Linked DNA regions of Xenopus tropicalis. The main gene of each other region encodes a partner of the protein of the gene in region 2 in a complex. Links are inferred from orthologs where the notes say so. Each region holds a gene or a part of one and is shown on either strand. Other genes may lie near its edges. The genes, in order: tax1bp3 and kcnj4.

Region 1 (10,673 bases), on a different chromosome or scaffold from region 2:
CCTGCCTTTTTGAGGTGCACAAATAGAGTGGACAGATATCTGTTGCAAAAGGCACCGCCCAACTACCTTTGTGCCTTCAGCTAATTCTCAACATACATATCCATATAGACTAAGCATAGTCCTAGTTATAGTGCAAAGTCCATGCATTATGACTCATATAGTTATAGTCAATTAGCAACTGCAAAGGATACAATCCTACAATGTAAATAAATGTCTTTTTTCATAACTAATAAAAATACCAGTAAGGTAACACTTCAAAGATTAAGCATTAAAATCTGCGTGTAACTGCTTACTTTAGTGAAAGCAAAAGATCATACAGAAGCAATCAGTACCAAGTCACAGTTACATGTATTAGTCACGTTATACTGTGTTTATATATAAACAGTCCTAGAGTACACTCATATATATCAAAAAAACATTATATATATATATATATATAGATAGATAGATAGACACGTACCTAGTATCTGCACATCACCTAGCAGGGTATGTAGCAACCTCACTCCCTGTGAACAACATTTGTTGCTTTAAATGAAAGTTCAGTTCCTCAAGCCTAAAGGGTTGGCCACTGGTTCTTTTTTTTTTCTATGTGAAAAGACTCTGTTGCTACCTCTATAATCCACTCTTATGTACTTGTAAACGGTTCTCATCCCATGACAAGCGCCTTTTCTCCAGAGGAAACAACCCCAACCCTGATACTCTAACTTTATAGTTTAATATTTTCATTCCTACTACAAATTTACCACTTTATTTGCCCGTCTCTTATATGCCCTATTTATGGACAACAGCCCAAATGGGTTAGATCAGCAGGAAGTGAAGGAGGACTGCAGCTGCTCTTCCTCCCCTGATGGTGCACTGGTAAATATGGGGCATCTGAAGATTACACTTTCATTCCTTCCTCGTCCTTAGTACCTGGATACTGGTCAATATGATCGCCCAGCCATACACATATTCCAAATATCGATTGTTATGTGTATGGCCAGCTCTACCCAATTAAAAGTTGATCTGCAATCCAATTGTAAACAAAGAGTCTTCATTTTTGGAACATTAGGGTTCTTAGGAGTCCCATCAAAGACTATATTTCCATCCCTGCTGTCAGTTCCCATAACTAACCTGGGCCAACTATCCAAATTGTATGCTCACCAGAGACCAGCCTGGGAAATGTTCTTTGCTGTGATCATGAGTTTACAAAGACATTCTCAGCTAATGCTAAAAGCAATTACTAGTCTACCTAAGGCCACAAAATATTTTAATGATACAATAATTCACCTTAATAAAGGCACACAACAAAAATAAAAATCCAACAGAGACCTTCAAAGTAAGGTAGATTTTATTCAGCAAACGTGTCCACATAGAAAAGCAGAATAACAAATCTCCCCCCCTTTTCCCAGTAATTTACAAAGTATAAAGACTTTTTGGCACATTGGTCAAAGGGAAAGCAAACAGGAAAGCACAGATCTCTGCAATCTACTACTGTAATGTCAGGTAAAAACTCACACACTTTATCTGCTGGCATAGAAATTAGTGATTACCAATACTTTAAATCACGTCACTCAATAAAGCTTTCATGTGTCATTCAAACCTGTCTGATTGCTAGGGTCATGTAGACCTAGCAACAAGAACAATACGCAAACAGACCACCCGTCCAATGTTGATGGATTATAGGGCAAGCCAGTGACTAGGTGTGAACAAGCAGATAACATTAGCCAGTAAATGCAGTTGTTCGAGAGGTAAGAAGGCCTGAAACGTCCAACCATATCCATGTGTTTGGTCAGATAAGCCCTAGGTTTATGTAGAATAGTAACTAAGTCTGTCAGTGGCCTGGAAATGCAAGTCAAGTGAATCTGGGGCTGGGGGCCAGCACTGGTTCAAATGAAGTAGGACATTAGTGTGCACGTCTAGCAGCAGGGACACTACCTACAGCTTGAGTAGTGAAAGTAACACAAACGTGTGCAAAACGCATACAAAACAGGAACATTAATGAAATGTGCAACTTAGTGGTTTAAGCAGCCCTCTCTCTGAAGCTGACTTTGTTAGGGATCAGTCTGGATCTCAGGGGTCCATAGCACTCAGAAGCCTAAATTACACGATTTTCCTCCTTTGGTCATTGGGGCTAGAGTGCAGCTTTAAAGGCCAAGGTCCCACAGGGAACCCATCCCTACACACTGCAGTAGGCCGGCAGGCAAAAGCTCCTGGTGAGCTTCAGTTCCCATTCAAGCTGGATATAGTAATTCAGACATGCTTTTCCCAAAAAACAAATAGCTATAACCTATATAGGGGTTTTGAAAAAATATCAAATGTAACATCTAGTGTTTATTTGGTAATCTATACATGCACGTCTATTGGCTGCTTTCACCTAATGAAACTGTTTGCAATAAAAACAATAAGGTTTTATATTGCTGTATGAAGGGGTATTTACCATCAACCCGAATGATTATTTTAAAAACATTTTTTCCTCTTTAATTCAGTTACAAATTGTGATACTGGGGTCCCATATGGAATAAAGCACACAAGCAAGAATAATAGTGACACCCTTGCCTGTCATATCAAACAATCAGACTCCTAAGAGTATATTCCCATATAAAAAGGATATGAGCAATAGCACCTACTGAGCTCCAACAGGACTGGAATTTCTGTTTTGTGACTCACATGTGGGCATTAGCAAGACTGGCAGCAATGGGTAGCACAGCCTGCCCTGCACCGATAGTAGGAAGAGGCACTTTAGTGTTTCTAACAAAAGCTTTATACAAACTATCACTCAATGTCATTCTGCAACTTGTGATAAAACAAGAACTGCTGCGGGGCCCCATGAGAGGATGTGGAACTTAAACGGCAAAGGATTTGTTCACATTATGCAGCCTAATATGTTTCCATGTGACTGGGTAGACAGCTTCAGCCACAGTTACAATTCTATAAAAGCTTGGCCTGCCAGTAGCGTAGCGTTCTCCAGTTCTGAATTCTCATTGGTCCAAATGAAACATGCTGCAGGTCATACACCAGAACTCAAGCAGCCACTGACTTACTAGACAAATACAGACATTAGTCACGTCCGTACAGGAAAATCATGATTCCAGTCTTACTGATGTAATGCACACAGGCAAAACAGCTTCTGGGAAAGATTAACTCATTCTGGTCCAAACTGGAGAAGTCTCAACTGATGAACATAAACATATAGGAGTGTCTTGCCACAATCAAAAGCAGTTTATTACAAGCCTAGGAATATCGTTTGGTCAGAAATTTAGAAAAGTAATGCAAAGTACATACAGTACAGTTAAAACTGGAAATGATACAAGACAGTTAAACTAGCTATATGGAGTGGTTTCATATATATATATTTATATAAATTAGTACAGGCCAGTCAGTTGCTGGTGGCAGTGGGACTGCATATGAATTGCTAGAGATATAGATAAAAGGGGACAGGGGAACTTGTCTGATTGTCTGTGCTGTAGTAACACCAGTAACAAAGCAGTATATTCCCTGGGCAATCTATTTCCTGGATTCTCCTATTAAACCTTGGCCAGTTGGGCGCCAAAGTCAGTAACCTCTGACAGCACTAGGTCTTGAAGCCCCTCAAAGAGACACATACCCTAAATGGAACAATGTAAAATTGTCCAGAATGCTCTTCTGAGCACTTTTGCAATTTATAGGTAAATTTTGTTTTAGATTTGACGACATTGGCAGTTTTAACACTGCTAATATCAGAGTGTCCCCTGTTGATTGGGCTCAGGGTAGGGTTCTTGTCCAGTTGTCTCTTGTAATGTGCCAAGAGGGTAAGAATAAAACTGAGCAGAGAAGCGACAGGAGGCTTTCTGCTTCTGTAAATTAATCTTTTGCCATTCGTCTGGCCCTTACCTGGGCCCAAAAACAGGGGGCACTCCTGTTACACATTCACATCAGCAGTGTAGTAACTGGTAATATCATGAAAAAAGTCAAATTGATAAGAGCGCTTACACCTACAAATTTTGCCTAGATTAAGCATTTATTGATTCAGCTGATTGACCCTGACGGTAATTAGAGGCAGTGACCCAGGCTGTACCCAGAGACTGCTGATGGCAGCCCTTGTGATAAATGCTGAAAGGCGAGGATGACTCAGTACAAACTCTACTTCCCCTCCTAGAAGAGACTATTTGCTCTGCAAGTACAAATCTGTGTATAAACCAGTGATACAGGGACCTCTGTTTACATGTTGAATTTTGTAAAATAAAGTCCCCATATTTGTGGTTGCTCCAATAGAAGCAACTTAACACCTGAAAGTATTAAAAAAGTGAACTGGGAATCGCATAGGAGATACCTACCTGCTTTATCTTTGCAGTGGAAAGATGTGTGCTTTTCTACTGGGGCAGTAAGAAATTGCTCTTTCATTTGCAAGGATAAAGACGGGCAGAATTTAGGCCAATGGGAGCCAGGCACATTAGAATTCTTTTTGGTTTGTTTTGGTGCGGAACAAGCAGTAGCCTGGGAGGGACAGAAAGGAGCCAGCAACCTATAGCCCTGCAATGTGCTGCTGGTGTGTGTAATACAGAACTGAAATGTGTCCGGGTAAGTACACCTGTGTAGCTAAGAGATTCAGACTCTCGGGAATGTGATGCTTAGGGTCTCATGGACTGTCTCACAGCCTCTTGCAAGGATTTTCTGGTCACAAGCAGCCGGACAACCTCCTCATTTTTCTTGGTGAGGCGTTTCCTTGCCTGGTCGTGCGTTACCATTGTCATGTCCCATCCATTTACCTGAAACACACCGACAAATAATAAACGATTAAATAAACTGCATGGTTGTATACGAAACTCTGTCCAAAATAGGTGAGAGGCTAACATTACTACTCTAACGTTACTACTGCTAACATTTTTTAACACATAGAGTATGGCGCACACACACAGGCAGGGTAGGACAGGCAGAGTATGGAACACACAGGCAGCATAGGGCAGGCAGAGTATGGCACACACAGGCAGCATAGGGCAGGCAGAGTATGGCACACACAGGCAGCATAGGGCAGGTAGAGTATGGCACACACAGGCAGGGTAGGGCAGGCAGAGTATGGCACACACAGGCAGGGTAGGGCAGGCAGAGTATGGCACACACAGGAAGCATAGGGCAGGCAGAGTATGGCACACACATGCAGCATAAGGCAGGAAGAGTATGGCACACACAGGCAGCATAAGGCAGGAAGAGTATGGCACACACAGGCAGGGTAGAGCAGGGAAGGCAGAGTAGGGAAGGAGACAGGAAAACCTATTATGACTATACAAGAAACTGAAACTCCAAGATGAACAGTTTGTACTGCTCTACATACAGGACACAATGCTGGCACAGTCTGAGGTGTGAACAGGTGAACAATGTGAGCGCCAACGGTCTGAGCCTGGGTTTTGAACAATGGTATCAGCAGCCAGACAGGTGGGGGGGGGGCACACAGGCTACCAGTTGAACACCACTACTCTAGAGAGATAAATGGCATTTCAGCATCTGGATGTCAGAAGAAAAAGGATGGGTTTGGCAGATGCCAGGAGAACACTAACTGCCTGAATGCATAATGCCCCCTGTAAAGCTTGGTGGAGCAGAAATAATGGTCTGGGCCTGTTTCCAAGGTTTGGGCCCCTGGTTACACTGAGTAAACCTTACGGCTGCAGTGTAGAATTAAATTCAGTGTCATGCTTCCTACTTTGTGGCCCCAATTTAATTGAAGTTACTTTCCTGTTTTAGCACAGTAATCTCCCATGCACTAAGATAAGTCAATACACCATAGGTTTGCTGAGATGGGAGTGGAAGAACTTGACCCGCTCTCAGTATGGCAACATGTAGCAGATTAACCATAGCTTTAAAGGGATTGTTCACCTTTACATTAACTTATAGCATGATGTAGAGAATTCTATTCTGAAACAATCTGCGATTGGTCTTCATTTTTTTGCTTGTGTTTTTTTGTGAAGATTCTCATTCATCCAGGTCATGGTATGTTTGTATTAATAAGTCAAATTAACTGGACTTGCTGTGTTTTTCTTGAAGACGTTTGGCCAGTCATCCAACTGGTTTTGTCAATTCAGAATGGTTTCTGAATTATTCAGCAGCTCTCCAGTTTGGAATTTTAACAGCTATCTGGCTGCTAGGGTCTTCTTTATCTTAGCAACCAGGCAGTTGTTCAAATGAGAAACTGGAATATGGATAGAAGTGAGTTTGAATAGAAAGAGAAAAAAGTAACAATAAAAACAAAATTGTAGTCTCAAATAACAATGGTTTTTTTTGGCTGCTGGGGTCAGCCACCAACCCTTTGAAACCTGGAAAGTGGCAGTATAGAAATGCAAATAATTTAATAATGCTAAAAAATAAAAAATGATGACCAAATGAAATGTTGCTAAGAACTAACCATTCTACAACATACTAACTAAAAAGTGAACTACCCCTTTGTCAATTGGGAAAAAGCCCAGGAATACCCACCCCCCACGGACAGCATTGTGATTAGTTGCAGATATAAGGACATTAGGGCTTATGCAATGGTCAGTGGATTGTCAGGTAGTGATCAGCTATTTACCTGCATTATTTTGTCTCCAATTTGAAGTCCAGCCACCTCCGCAGGGCCTCCCTCTGTTACTCGTGTCACATAGATACCCTGAAAGCATCAAGTTATATTCTTACTGCTAATTCAGTAGTTAAAGTTGAAAAGCTTTTACAGACTGGGACTTATTTATAAAGGCATGTAAAGAAAAACAGCATTGAACCCCTACATATCCACCGGGCACTTTAATGCCACAGTATGCCATGGACACCATGTAGAATCCTAGAAAGCTGTGTATTGATTAGATGCAAATTTACAGGTGAATATAAAAAAGTTTTTTAAAGCTCAAGTATAGTTAGTAAGGACTATTTCATCAATCATTGCATGGCATTAATTCACACTTAAAGGAGAAGTTAAGGCTAAGTCACTTGGGGGTGCCAAAATGTTAGACACCCCCAAGCGACTTTAATCGCTTACCTTGTACCCCGGGCTGGTGCCCCTGTTAGGAGAAAACAGCACCAGCCCGGGGTAGCAGCGAGTGTGGTCTCCTCTTCCTTTCAGCTTTTCACTCTACTGCACATGCGCTGGCGCAGGGATTTTGACACAGAAGGAAGCGCTCGCTGCAAGTACCCCGGGCTGGTGCGGTTTTCTCCTAACAGGGGCACCAGCCCAGGGTACAAGGTAAGCGATTTAAGTCACTTGGGGGTGCCTAACATTTTGCCCCCCCCCAAGTGACTTAGCCTTTCCTTGTCTAACATTTATTCTACACTTTTGTTGTTTAAAAGATCTTTATTAAATATGTCCATAGAGTAGCTCTTTTATAAGCACAGGTGCTAAATTGCACTATTGCAGGTACCAATAGCTTCCAATCAGCAAACACTTTTGATCAGTCTACTAAACGTTAGCAAAGATTGGCTGCTAGCAGTAACCACACTTACATTAGCACCTTTGATACTAAATTAGCCACAAAAGATCCATACTTTAAGCAACAGTAATGCCATAACGTCATTATTTGTAGTGCCACAGTCTATGATGTGTGTATAAAAGGAAGAGCCACAGATCGTAGATTTTATGACCTGAAGCACTTCCAGGGGCAGATTGCCAGCTTTTACAGCAGGTTATCTGTCTTACCCCCATTCCAAAGCAATAAGGAGGGTGGGGGAGTGGTCTCCCTAGTGGCCCAGGGAATCGCAGATACATGGAAAACACATGTCATGGCTTCAATCTACAGCCCCCTGCCATCTCTAGCTGCACGTAGTGGTTTCTCTAAACACTAAAACTGCCCCATGCAGACCCATGTGTGACAGGAATAATGTCTGCCTGTCACTGCACACATTTCAGCCTGAAAGTGTCCATTTTCTGGCCAAAATCCAGCCTGTGTGTAGATTCCTTTCATTGCCTACATACCACACAAGGTGATAGCAAGCTGTGTATGCATTTTCTCTCCTGGCAAATGTAAAGCACTCATATAAGCCATAGTAATCTTTGCAACTGTCATTACATGCTGAGCTATCTCACTCAAGTATCAATGCGCAATCACAAGAAGTTCCAACCTTGTCTGTCTTGTCCTCGGAGAAAGGGTTTTGTGCCGGGTCCTGGTCGATTCCTCCTCCAATGCTGAAGCCAAGGATCAGATTATCCCCTTGGTGCAATTTATAGATTTCAACCCGTTGCTACAGAAAAAAAGGAATGGAAATTAGTTCCAAATCAAGGACTGAGGTTTAACCCTTCTGGTTATTAGCCATCCCATAAACCCAGTCTGAATATCAGTAACAGTTCCATTCAGTGTAATTTCTTATTTGCTGTTCTTGAAACCAGAGCTGAATGAACTGCTTGACAATGTCCTGGCCAAAGAAAGGACCTTCAACCACTGGGCCAATGTAATTCTTAGCACCATCTTGTCCTCGAAAATACATTGTGTTGTGCATTTGCAGCCCCATGTTGTGAATCTCACCTACCACCACCACCCTGTATCAGGGGTCACTTAGCAACCCCTGCAGTTCCTTATGACTTACAACAGAGATTGGTAAAATTGGAGCTTGGGCCCCTGGCATTCACAATGATTGCTGAACCGCTCTCAGAGCAGCTGTACTTGATATGGGATGAGTGATAACAGGTATAATAGGGCAAAATGGTGAGAGTAAAACATGATATCACTGTTTCCTAATATGTTGGCCTTTGTTTATTTTTAAAGTATAACTTCATGGATCCCCGCCCCCCCCCCCCCCAAAAAAATGGTGTATTACCTTGGACCCGGCCCTGAGAAAAGAATGTGTTCATAGGTAATTGATAAAATAACTGCTAATTTGAAAACAGCACGAAACAGAATATGCAGGGGTTTGTGGAAGGCAGCTTGGCCTACTGCCGTTTTGGAGAGTTACCCAGATATGTGTTTCTATGCACCATATGCCAAACAGCCATGACTCATTGGTTAAACATCTCAGGATCTGGCTCACCCCAACAGAAACTTAGATACGTCTCTATCGCTTGGCCTTCAGCTAGGACTGTCACGCATTCCTCCTGTATCTAAGCCGTCTCTGTCAGAAGGGGGCCACATTTCTATAAGAACATATTCTACTCTATTCTATAACAACACTGCTGAAGAGACAGAGCCAAATGTATCCAATGCAGATATACATTTTTTCAGCAGCCAATACAATTTCTTAGGGTGAAGACACACAGAGCTACTTAGCAGCAGCTACTTTTCACAGCTACTAAACTCCAGAATATACCCTGCCATAGACAATACTGAGAATTGCCTCTGCTAAAACACACGTAGAGACAGTTATCAGTAAATGATCAGCATTGTCTATTTTAGTAGCCACTATAAGTAGCCACTACTAGTAGCTCTGTGTGTCTTCAACCTAAGAAATACAAAATATCCCTACTGTGCCCAACACAATGGTAATTAAAAGTCCAGCCAGCACCCAGAATTGTGATGCAACGTGTCCATAATTTATTTGTTTTTAATCCAAGACAGCAGATCTAAAGATAAAATAAGACTGCATTGTGTGGGCTTTTGAAAACCCACTGGTAGCAGCAGGCTGGCTGTTGGGACAATATTGCAGAATGGGGAAGAAACTGGTGGCTCCAGCCCTTTGGAACCTATGGAGAATGGTAGCAAAGCAAATAAAACCACTGAATAAAAGAGAACAAGTTCTCTGTACTTGATCTTCCATAAGCCTGACTTTGACCCTCGCAAGCACTGAAGAAGGAATGATAACGTGACTATAGAGTTGTATTCCATGGCCAGGATATCCAGCATTTGGTCAGACCCTCTTTAGGAAGGTTACAGCTATATAAATAAAGACACTGTCATGACATTCACTTGCAGTAGTTCCAATAGAAGTAATGGTCAAAACGGAGCTTAAAGTACAAAAATCACTTCTCTCCAACTGGAAGCTCACAGGCTTAATACAGGCCAAGGTCTCCGTGTAGATAATGAGCCCTTGGAGGACAGCATTTCTGCCTCAATGCCAGCCTTCCCCAGTAGATAAAAGGTGTATCTAACAGGGTGTAACCCTTAGACAAACATACTAGGAAAAGTAACACACCAGGGACCTCTGACCTGCCTTATATGAGTCACGCAGACATGCTGGTACAAGCGTGCCCGTGCTATGGCACTGATTTGGTGCAAATAGTTTGCAAAGACGAAGAATGCAACTTGTAGCACAGATACACCTGACCCCACCAGCTCTGTCATGTTTATGTAAGACACGCTGCTCTATTTATAATGTCAGCTAACAGATTTTTTGTTTTTAGTTAAGTGATCTATTCAGGTAGTAAAAATTGCAACCGACTTTAATATAATTGATTTTTTAAAAATTGCAAATTGCCCTTAAGAGGTGCCATAAGGATATACATTTAATTAATGTTTTGCTTGGCCTTTGTGACCTTAAGGTACCTATATACACAAAGGCTAATGACGGGCTGTATAGCTGCAGAGCTGAAAATACTGTAATTACAAGCCCAAGGCCTCAGGATATTTTACCCCTATCATTAGGCTCTATTATTAAAAATCAAATTTGCACCTGGGCAGTAACCCACAGCAAAGAAAAGATATCTTTTTTAATTTCACTGTTCTACCTGCAGTTGGCTGACAAATGCTAATCACTGACTGGATTCTATTGGCTACTGCCCAAGTGCATATTCGCCCAGTGTTGCTAAATGAGGGATCAGGGACACTTTG
Region 2 (11,309 bases):
TGTATCCCAATAGCCAGTTCCCATCTGTTACATACTTTGCCTGCGGGTCTCCCTTTGCTTTTTTTTCTTCATTTACATGATTGTGCCACTTTTACCATTTTCGCATTGTATTATTCTCTTTTTCAGATATTGCTGCTTCTTTGCCTATTTCTTCTCTTACTTTCCCTGGTTTGTTTATTTATTTTTAGTGTTTGGTTTTACTGATCCTTTTTGCCCAGATCAAGTAAATTGGTAGATCAGATGTTTGTTTTTGAAAAGGTGGCCAATAAATATATGGGTTACTAGACCAGTAGCAAACATAACACCTTCTACTGTTGCCCCTCTGTGTTTCTGTAATATCCCTCTGCAGCCCTATGATCCTCACTGGGTCTGCTTCAGTTTGTATCACACGGATTAAACAAGGGTAATGTTCCCTAGGTATTTCTTAAAGAGGCTATAAGGCTTTCCATATTATACTATTGCCAAACCATAAGGATTATGAAACAGCATTAAAGGGTTTCAAGTCTGCAGAGCAGTCATGCTAAGCCCTCTGTAGCCAACAATAGGGTTTACCGCTAAACAACAGTATAAAAAGTCTGCAAAAACTACTTACAAGCTTACATGACATGTAACAACACATTTGCAGAATGGTTGGAGCCAGGTATTAGCAGTGTAAACACGCAGATATCTCAGAAACCCTTAAAATAGAAAATGAATGTAAATTACAAAAGTGCTCAGAGAAGCACCCTGAGTAAACTGGCCCGTCTGTTTCACCAAATGAGAAGATTTTTCCCTGATATGAGAGGCGCTGCAGCTATGAAGTGAGTTAAGAAAAAAAGCCAGTCCTGGTAACTTTTTAAATCGCAAATTTGGCTCTTCTAGTGCAGAGAGCGCAATAGGGCTCTAGCGATGTGCCCCTCACCCCCTCTGATGCAAAAAGCTATATGCAGCAGTAGCCAAGGGAATGGCATCAACTTGGCCACCTCAGGTGGCTAGGACCCCTGAGGCGGCTCTTGCCTGATGTACACCAAAGGTGGGTGATATTGGCCTAATCTGATTTTTTAGCCCTAGGGCCAAACAGGGATACAGGTCATTGGGGTGAGGACCACATCAACAAGCTGATCCAGTCCTTGATCTCATGGGAAATATAAACCTGCCCAATCAACATCTGCCTTATTTTTAGCCAGATATTGATCAAGCAGGCCTGTTGGAGGGCCCCATACATGGGCAAATAGGCTGCTAAGTTGGTCTGAAGGGGCCGAATCGGCAACTTAAATCCATCCATGTATGACCTTTTTAAGTTAATGTATTCCTGCTATTAAGCCAATATTCAGGGAAAATAACACAGCATCACAATTAATAAAAAAACAATGATTTGCACTAATCCTAATATCAACTGTTATTGCTGCTTCTTTTTTTACTATTTAAAACAGTGTGATGTACAGATGTTATTCAAGAACTGCCGCATTGGTATAAAGGCACCTAATCTGCAGCTAAAATCCGCCCGTCTATGGCCACCTTAAGTTTACATCAATTCATTTTTGGGTTACCTAGTCAATGGCAGGTATTAACTTACAGTAACTGGTGCCCCAGATGCATTGGAGCTTGGTGCAAGAAAACATATGTATTTTGGTACATGCAATTTTCAGCCCTTTTACTGCCCCAGTGGGAGAGAAAAGCACAAGTGCAAAATGGCTCTGCACTCACAGCGTTCCTTCTCCACATACAGTATGGGCATTTAAACAATATTCTCTATAACAATACATGTACTCCATACAGAGTGGAATGGAGCACATACTGTGTAAATGTTTGCACCAGTGGGCACATTGCATTACTAAAGGGCATATGTAAAAAAGGGTGAAAATATAACTAGAGCTCACTGGAGGAAAATTTCACAGCCCTCAATTGTCATGTATGGGATGGTCAGGGGCATATTTATCCAAGGATGAAAATAAGGTGTACTCATTTTTAGCCTTATATAAATATGTGCCCTTATAAATCTGAAATTTCCTTCAGGCAAACTCTAGTGAGCAATTCTTCCACCCTTTAATAAATATGCAACTGTGAGAGAGTTGCCATGCTTTGCTATATATATACACCACACATACCTGTAGCAAACACAGGTGTTATATATAACCACTATTGCACTGGTGTGAATGCCCTTGATGGGAGAAAACAGAGTCTATATATATGTGTGCGTGTGTGTATGTGTGTATATATATAAATATATGTATCCTGCTTATAAGTAGTATATATTGATTCAGATATTGAGAATTTTTTTTTAGTTTATCCCACTTATAAGCATAATACTCTTTAAGGGGCAGAGAGTGCCAGTGTCTTGGCCAAGTTATTCTAAACGACTATTTATAGATTTATGCTAAAATTAACCCCAGTTCACCTGGCCTGTACCTTGAAGGAAGTGGATCCATGGATCCAGAAAAGTGTACTCAAATGGATTTATATTTTACAAAGATAGAGTACAGAATAAATTCAGATTAGAAGTGTATCTTTAATATGAAGCAGAGATGAGAGATGGCATGAGCATATATAGTACTTTAAAGAAGAGAGACCAACACAGAGCAGAGCCAACCGACAGAGATGGTGAAGAGCACGAGAGCCAATATGTTACATAAGCCAGAGAAAAGATTAATGCAGAATGTTAATGAGAAGGTTAAGGTTCTGCAATTCTAGGGGTTTTACACCCTTTGCTAAATGGACAGGCTGGGTGTGAAAATTCTCTCTCATCTGTCAGGGCTTTTTTTTATGTTTCTATGGAAATATATGAGAGATGGGTTGCTTTTGTGTGCCTTGGTATTTAGCTTAACCCCTTGAGCGCAGGAAGTTCACGGAGGGGAGGCTGAAATAAGCATTCAGCCTTTAGCAATTGTAATGCAGTCAGATACAAATGACACTTTCTATTGCTGTATGATATCTTCTCTTGCTTATTCCTCCTACATCCTGATATTTCATAACTGGAAACTTTCTTGTGCTGTTAAAAATACTCCCATTTATCATTAGATTTACATAGTTAAGTTGGTTTGAAAAAAGTCCATTAAATTCAGCCCCTCCTCCAGTGCACATATATAGACTTATACTGACCTATCTATACTCTTACATATGTAAACTATATATCCCAATATCTATACTAATTGTACATTTTAGTATGGTGATAGCCTTGGATATTATGCTTGTTCAAGAAAACATCAAGCCCCTCTTAAAGACATTCATAGAATGTAGATTTACAAGACTGCCTGTTCTTTAGTCCTGTATCTGTGCATTAATTACAGCTCCCAGCTTCCCCCAATGCAGGGAGTTGTAGTACAACTATAACTAGAAGTCTGCAGGTTAAACAGCCATGTCATAGAAGGCATAGTTTGGTTTAACCTACCTGCCTCCAGTTGTGCCTGAAAGCAGCAGTGAGAAAAGGATGTTCCATTTCTAAAACAGTGGTTCCCCAACTGTGGGACTGCCCAAAGTGTTGGCTGGTGGGGACCCAATCTCAAGGCCAGTAGGGGCATGTTTTTTGGGTAAAATGCATATTTCAAATCTTGTATATTGGGTATATTGGGAACTATATCCTTATATAAACATGTTCACCAAATGTTGGATCTCATAGCGGAAGTCCAAAAACACCCTAAACATGTGAAGCTGTAGTTAGTCAGTAACTGTGTTATGTAATGGCAAGGGTTCTTGTGTTCCCCGTTACCATGTAATAATTACAATAGAGAGTCCAGGGAAGCACAACCTTCCTGCACTCTCTTTTATATCATTGTTTATTTATTAGGCATAAAGTCCAGGGGCAGATTCTAGAAATGACACCATTATTGAATGCCACACTGTTTCATTATGAAAACCAGCCAAAAGAAAAAAAAATCACTGCCAAAGCTTTAACAAATAAATAAATAAATAAATAAATAATAATAGTTAGCAAGCAAGAATAAGGGCTACTGTCCATTAACTATATGGATTTATATGGATCCTGGCAGCTAATAGAGTTAGAATGTGCTGTAACTAGTGCAGCAGAGTGTATAGTTGGCATTGCACGCCTACCCACATGGTATAAAAATAACTATTTGAAGGAAATATAATTAGTACCTTTCTACCTGTTTCTTTATGATACTACGAAATCTGTGTAATTATTACACAGTAAGTTTGCATATCAGTATTGTCTGTGAATCGTTTGTAGGCAGATTGCTCTATGGATCCAGCGGAGGAAAAGAGATGGGAGAGATACAGTTATGCAAGTAAAGATTGTGCAATACTGACACTGTCTTGCTTTGCGAATGTGTAAATATGAACATGTAAACCCATTCTTGGCTAGTAATTCATATTAACAACATCTCTGTTGTTCAGTCTATCCTGCTGCGCAGGGCGAGGGGTTGGGGGTTGTATTTAATTGCAACAGTATAGCCCCAAGATGTACAAAAAGAATTGTCATTCCATTAGCTGCTGTATGCACCTCAGTATAAAACAGTAGCAGTTTTACTATAAACAGTTACCTTTCCGAGCCTTCACATTTCTCAGCAAACCTTTAACCCCCCTCCCTCCATAGTTATTAGTAAGATTGGTACTTGAACAGTCCACAAATAATTCCACCCAAGGTAAAAGAAGGTTTCTTACCAGCTTGTTGGTTGGCGATGCCCTAAGAAAAATGAATTCTGGGCACTAAGAGGGCTGCTCCAGTCTCCTTATAATCTCTCTCTTCTTCAGACTTTGGCTCCCTCTTTACTAACTTTGCCCGGCGTGCTGCTGCTGGTGCCTCGGCTCAGGCTGCCACCATGTGCTGCAAATCTCATTTTATCTCCTTACAGGTTCCTCACTGACTCTGACCTCAGCCTGGTCTCCACTTGCCCGCACTTTCACAAGCTGATACTTACACTTCTCCACTCAAATGGCCACAGTTTATTTTAGACCCCTGCAAATATTCTCTATATCCCAAACCATTCTATTCACTGTCTTTCGATTGGTTCTCCTGACTCTTTATAATTGTCCCTTTGTTCTTTTCACAGTATGTCCATCTGGCTTCATTGTCTTTCTATTTCCCTGGCAATTATTCTTTTCTCTCTGCTCTTACCATACGCTTGCTATTTTTCTGTTTCTTCTTCTTTCTGTCTTCTCTTTTGCCCCCTCTCCAAACGCTTTCCTTTACCTCAGTTTCCCACTCCCTGCATCTCTCCCTCGATCTGTTCTGCTCTCTGCCCCACTCTCTCTCTCTGCATCTGAGCAGTTTGTGATTGTGCACAGGAATCTGACAACGCTGGGCTGGATGATCTCCCCTCTACATGTGATCTCAGTGTGTATTCACACTGCATCCCAGGGAACAGAGAGAGGGGAATAGAAGTGTAAGGGCTCAGTATCTCAGATGTCCCCCTATATCTCTGTATACACCTGAGCAATGTCAGGTTCTGAAGGTTCTACTAAACATTTTGTTTAAAAGAGCCTGCTTGCTGTTGGTATAATTTCCTGTAATAATAATGATTATATCATTTTATATCACTTCTCTCTAGTTGGCTCAGTGTTGGCTATTTCAACTTTTACATTTTAGGAATTGCCATTGGTGTGATATTAAGTGATATTTGCTAAAGAGATGCTCTCCATGGCAAACAATGGTCTCCAAGCCTAGCATCTACATTGAAATCTATCTCTAAAACCATCTTCTGGGCTATCTAGTATAAATAAATTTAAAGCAACTGGACTTGTTAAGTAATCATTGAAGATGTTTCACTACTCATCCGAGCAGCTTCTTCAGTTCTTCTGGGCTATGTTTTCTTCACCTGTTACACAGCTTTAAGGAGGTCGGTCACCCTACTTGCAAAAATCTAGGGTGCCCTCTTGCTTTGTTTCTGGTGGTAGCTAATCAGTAATGCTTTAATCACTTACTTTCATGCTTCCCCTCTCAGAAATGACACAATATTGCAAGAAGCTGCGCTGTGGAATTAGGGGACTGTGTTTAGCATCTTCCACCTGAGGGGAGTCTCCACACTGACAACCCTGACACAAAGTGCTGGACTTTCTAAAATAATTCCTTTCCCTAAAAGGGATAGTGGGAGGTAGGACTTCTTTTTATTTTCCTTTTCACCCTTTTTTTCCACTATTCCAAATTCTGTTTCCTTACAGAAATATTTGTAGCTCTTTACTTTTTCTCCTTTTTGGCAGTCTTTGTGGTGTTAATTTGCATTTAAATAAAATCTTTATGGAAAAAAAGAACAATAGTATAGAAGAAAAGTGATTAACTTCCCCATCATGGATAGCAAATGTACTTGTAAAATACGCATCAGACACAGTCTATGAGAACTAATGCCTGCCTCTCTGCTGATGCTAATAGATTTCTTCATTTCTTGCTGCTCCCTTAACCTTGGGCTTTGGGACTCCAGCACCCAAACAAATCCATCAGTCGTGGTGAGTGAACTTAATCAACCCAATATTTATTTATGGTATCCAAAGCCACAGGGAGCTGGAATCTGTTTTCCAACAAGGGATTTTACTGTCAAAAGTCAGGCGCATGGGATGTTGTATTATATAAAAACCTCACATTTTGACTTTTTGAATTTGTAAAAAGTTCCCGGAAGTAAAGGATATTTAGTTTGTAGTAGTGTCTGAAAACATGCAGTTGGCTTTTCAGAATAGGGGCAATCACACATGAAGCTACTTGTAGCCAGTATAGTATTCTCTATGGCAGCGTATTCTGGCATTTTGTAGCCACAACAAGAAGCACCATGTGTCATTGTCCTTATTCTGTGTCATAGTCCTAATAGATTTTACCTCTGGGCTTGCTATGGATGCTGTATTATAAAGCTCCATATTGCAGAAGCTAATAATTCAGTTCATAAAAACCCCAACTTATAATAAAATTCCTGTATTGGCCCAGTCAGAATTTCAGTAACACCTTAGCAAGTTGTGCTTACAGTTTTCCCACACCCATGTCCACCACACAAGGATTTAGTGTCCCAATGCCTGTAAGTCATACTCACCTATCCAGGCCATTGTTTAACCAAGAGGCATCCACAAAATCACTGGTGTGAAGAAGCATTTTAAAATAGGTTTACCTTTAATAAAAGTTATCCTTTTTTGAGCATGTTAAGCATTGATCTCACTACAAGTGTGCTAGTTTTTGGGGCATATTACTATGTACAACCTGATAAGACATAACACAGGAACGCAATTAGGATAAATTACCTCCCACATGTAGATCAGACTGATGATAATAGAAGACCCATCCGATTATGTAAAAAAGAACCCAAGACAGTTATATCAGATGTTGCTAGGAGACTTTCCAAAAATAGTTTAGGTAAATGGCTCAGACTTCTGTTTGCTCTTCCAACAGAATGAAAGGCATGTACAAAAAACCTGGTTACACGGCTCTTCTTATCGGAGGGATCCATTACAATCTGGGTTGGAGGGTTGAAAAGTATCTAGATTAATAGTCCTGAAAAATCACCCACAATTCCCTAGTCTTTCCAAGCATATTGTATTATAGAGGGGAACTATTGAAATACAAAAGAAAAAACTTTTCAGTTCAGTTTGTTCAGTAAGGACAGGTAGCACTGATAAAGTACATGCTACTTGGTACTTCCAGTCACTTGTGTTTGCGAGTATAAATGGACCTGCTGCCACGCTGGAATCTACTTGACTGCATTCAAGAGACAGAAATTGTGTGATGCTGTAAAAATGTGATTAACGCTGCCTTTATATTAGAGTTTTACTTCTCATGAGTCACAGGTTTATTTACGTAAGGGTATTCCCCTGCATACAAAAAGACTCCAGGCCACGCTAGGATGCGGAGTACTAAGCAGCCCTCATGTCGGTAAGAAGAAGCTTTCCAATTAGAGCAGTGCCTAGTAAGGCTCACCCCTGGGCAAAACTTGGGAGGTACCCACTGTACCACTGGCTGATTCCAGAGAGCCACGATAGATACAGGCAACTGCTAGAGCAGGAATGGAAACCTGTGAGCCAGATGTGGCCATCCAGTGGTTGGTAATGGCTCCCTAGTGTTTGATTTCATCATTTAGGTGCTAATTAGCCCACTACCTGGAAACAGTTGACCAGTGCTGTACTAGAGGAATGATAACTAGTTGACAGGCCAAAATTATAATGCTGAAAAAAGTTACTGGCACACATTTCAAAATAATTATTTTAAAATATATTGTATTTTTATAAAAAAAAAAAAAGATGCCACACTTGTGCTGAAAGAATAAGGTGCACACGTCAGCGCCACTGTGCCCAATCTGTGGCAAAATGCACGCGCAATTGCATTTCTTTTGTCGTTTGCATCCCCAGTGATGCTGGAACTGTGGAGAAAAAATGGTGTATTGTAGGGGGGAAACATAGCAAATGCACATAAAATTGCACTTTGTGCACCACATCTTGGTAAGTGAATGTGTCCTTGAATGTTTTTCAGGCAAAAACAAGCAAACAAAAATGACATGAAAATCAAAATCTCTAATGCAATTGCAAAATATGCAATAAAATTTTAGGGCAAAACACAGTGCTATTTTTGGGTTGTGACCAATGGGTTAAAATTCCTTGCCCTAAAATTCCTTGCAGCAAACACTGCTATTAAAGTACACACATCAATTAAATTAAACCATTGGCCCAAAAATTCCCTGCTTTTACAGCTGATCTAGAATAAAGTTATCTCTGGTTTTATATTTTATTACCATATATTTCATACCAGCACCCTTGTCTGTTCCCAAGTGTAACAATTAATATAACACTTTGTATTTTCTTTCAGATAAAAGTAATGTGGGTTTATGTGCCGTATTAACAAATGTAAACAGTATCCCTTGTACAACCAGTTAGCAGTGAACTTTTATAATGTAATAAAAATTGGTTACTGTACCAGGGAATATTTGCCTATGATACTACATAGGACTTCAATAAGGTAATGCAATAAAAAGAACAACAGTTGGTAAAGTATGTTAACCAATAGCAACTAACTAGGTGTTTACTTTCAAACAGCTTATGTGCCACCTGCTGATTGGATGCAAGATTGGTTTTGTATTAGATACAATAATTTATGATGATCGCAAATATGAAGAAAATGCTTACAAAAAAATCGTATTAGTCACGATAATATCGTATTGGCAAACCAAAAGTCACAAAATTTTCGGATCCGAACATTCGTAAACGGCAGGAAAACCTTTGACTTTGATCCTTCTGTGCATGTTTTTTGAAGCCTCCCATAGGACTCAATGGCACTCTGCAGCTCCAACCTGGCCCAAGGAAAGTCTCCCATAGGACTCAATGGCACTCTGCAGCTCTAACCCGGCCCAAGGAAAGCCTCCCATAGGGCTCAATGGCACTCTTCAGCTCCAACCTGGCCCAAGGAAAGTCTCCCATAGGGCTCAATGGCACTCTGCAGCTCCAACCTGGCCCAAGGAAAGTCACGATACCGAAGCTTAAAAGAATCCGAAACTTTTGTACTCGGTGCGACAAATACGATTTTGTCACACAAATTGTCACACTTTTTGTTGCAAAGTACGAAAAAGTACAATTTTTTTGTATTTGGAAGCGATCGTACTTTGATAAATGAGCCCCATAGTCTGTTAAAAATCTTTTGAACATTAAATAAACCCAATAGGATTGTTTTGCCCCAGTATCAATTCATGCAGATTAACTACAACTTATATATTTCTCAGAGCACAGCCAAAAAGCTTATTGCATTCCTCATTCTCAGCCATCGAATGATAGAAATGTATATACTGGTATTATTGATTATTTTACTGTTTGGTGACACACTTATGCCCAAAAAGGTGTTTGTTAACTACAGGAAGAAATATAAATGTAATATATGCAATATACTATATAAATATATAAAGGAGTAAGTAGACTAAATCTGGCCATACACGCACCGATAATATCATAGGAAACCTTGTTTCAGTGGGTGTATTGTGGCTCAAGAGGCGACCGAGATCGCAGAAGGCTGCGGATATCAGTTGACACGTTGATCAGCGGGGTTAAAATGACGACCGAGCAAAATCTAAGTTCAGAGCTGGATTGCCAGGTGGAGGTAGAATTTCTATTGTTTCTACTTCCATAGCTGAAGATTCAACCCTGAATGTAAGTGGAGGGTGGGAACAATCTTTTGTGCGACCAATGTTTGCATGAAAGATCGGGATTGCTATGTGTGTGGCCACCTTAGGAATCAGAGCCATTCAGTTTTTTTTTTCTTAGTGCCCCTATACTATGTATTAGGGGTAAACCCAACTGGCAGGTTTCCCTCAGGTCTGGTTGCTTTCCCCTAAATGCAACTGAATGCTCCGCGCCTCCTCTTCAGTGGCTGCTTGCCAGCTTGCTTTCCATCTGAGAGAAGAAAGAGAAGGAGTTTGAGAATATAGAAACCATATGGAGTTTATTCTCAGATATGCCAGATATAAGCCCACACCTTCTGCACTTTAGGGCACCAAGTGTAGACAGAGCACTATTTTTTTACTTTTACAAAACTCTTGAAGTAGGAGGGATGCCAGTTACAAGCCACTAAGGAGAACTCCTTTCTAAAGTTACAAATGTGTATATACTGTTAGGGTTTTTTTGGAGTTGCCACCTTTTTGAGCATGAACAAACATCATGAAAATGTATCAGTGTATCAATGTTCCCAAGGGCCAAAGAACTCCATACAACCTAACTGCACATGCCTTTCATACAAGTATCCGGTTGCCTTGTCTATACCTAGGGTTGCCACCTTTTTCTGTGACTAAAGGTGCCCATACACGTGAAGATCCCCTCGCTTGGCGAGGTTGCCCGTGTATGGCCACCTTAATATCTTTGTGTTGGGGGAACGACATCATTGGGAGTGGAGCTGTGATGTAAGAGGCAGGGAAATGGGCAGGGGTGGATATACATTGGCGGTGACTTTGTAATACTGGCGCTCGCCCTAGCTGGTAATTTACTGGCTAGGTCGGTCAAATACCAGCCAGGTGGCATCTATACTGATATACTAAAGAATATATAATATAAATTCCAATGCTTTGATTGGCCAGTTGTATATTTATGGCTTGTGCCCTTTACTAATTAAAATGCAGTTTATTGAAAGCCACAGTTTCTTTATTAAATTATGGCTCCATCAAACCTTTGCTTGCTTATAGGCACTTCTTAGAAGCCACAAGTGGTTGCCAAACTTTGTCTCTGCTCTTTAACAAATTCTATATCTTAGTGAGATGCAGATGATGCAGAGAAAATGGGAGACTGGCTGATAACAATATGCAAGATGGGGATATTTTTAAAGATCTGAGATGCTGAAACTTTAGGCTGTTTAATAAGTTCAATATGTAAATGATGGCATTTCTAGCCATATTTATTTTTAAGGTTTGCTTGAGGCCCATGTTGTCAAC

The links.
Region 1: the proteins of kcnj4 (region 2) and tax1bp3 are in contact, whole or in part, in a crystal structure (PDB 3GJ9), measured with the Homo sapiens proteins. The link is inferred for Xenopus tropicalis from reciprocal best matches to the Homo sapiens genes KCNJ4 and TAX1BP3. Residues at the interface, in NP_004972.1 of Homo sapiens: Arg440, Arg441, Glu442, Ser443, Ala444, Ile445; in NP_055419.1 of Homo sapiens: Leu27, Ile28, Leu29, Gly30, Phe31, Ser32, Ile33, Gly34, Gly35, Asp38, Gln39, Gln43, Asn44, Thr58, Arg59, His90, Asp91, Arg94, Leu97, Thr98.

The regions. Positions count from the first base shown.
Region 1 is NC_030678.2:30,653,399-30,664,071, forward strand, and holds the end of tax1bp3 (tax1-binding protein 3), read right to left. Parts: intron 8,158-10,673; coding exon 8,038-8,157; intron 6,599-8,037; coding exon 6,521-6,598; intron 4,728-6,520; coding exon 4,590-4,727; 3' UTR 1,313-4,589; downstream 1-1,312. UniProt on the Homo sapiens protein: May regulate a number of protein-protein interactions by competing for PDZ domain binding sites. Binds CTNNB1 and may thereby act as an inhibitor of the Wnt signaling pathway. Competes with LIN7A for KCNJ4 binding, and thereby promotes KCNJ4 internalization.
Region 2 is NC_030680.2:122,456,422-122,467,730, forward strand, and holds the start of kcnj4 (inward rectifier potassium channel 4), read right to left. Parts: upstream 5,275-11,309; 5' UTR 4,600-5,274; intron 1-4,599. UniProt on the Homo sapiens protein: Inward rectifier potassium channels are characterized by a greater tendency to allow potassium to flow into the cell rather than out of it.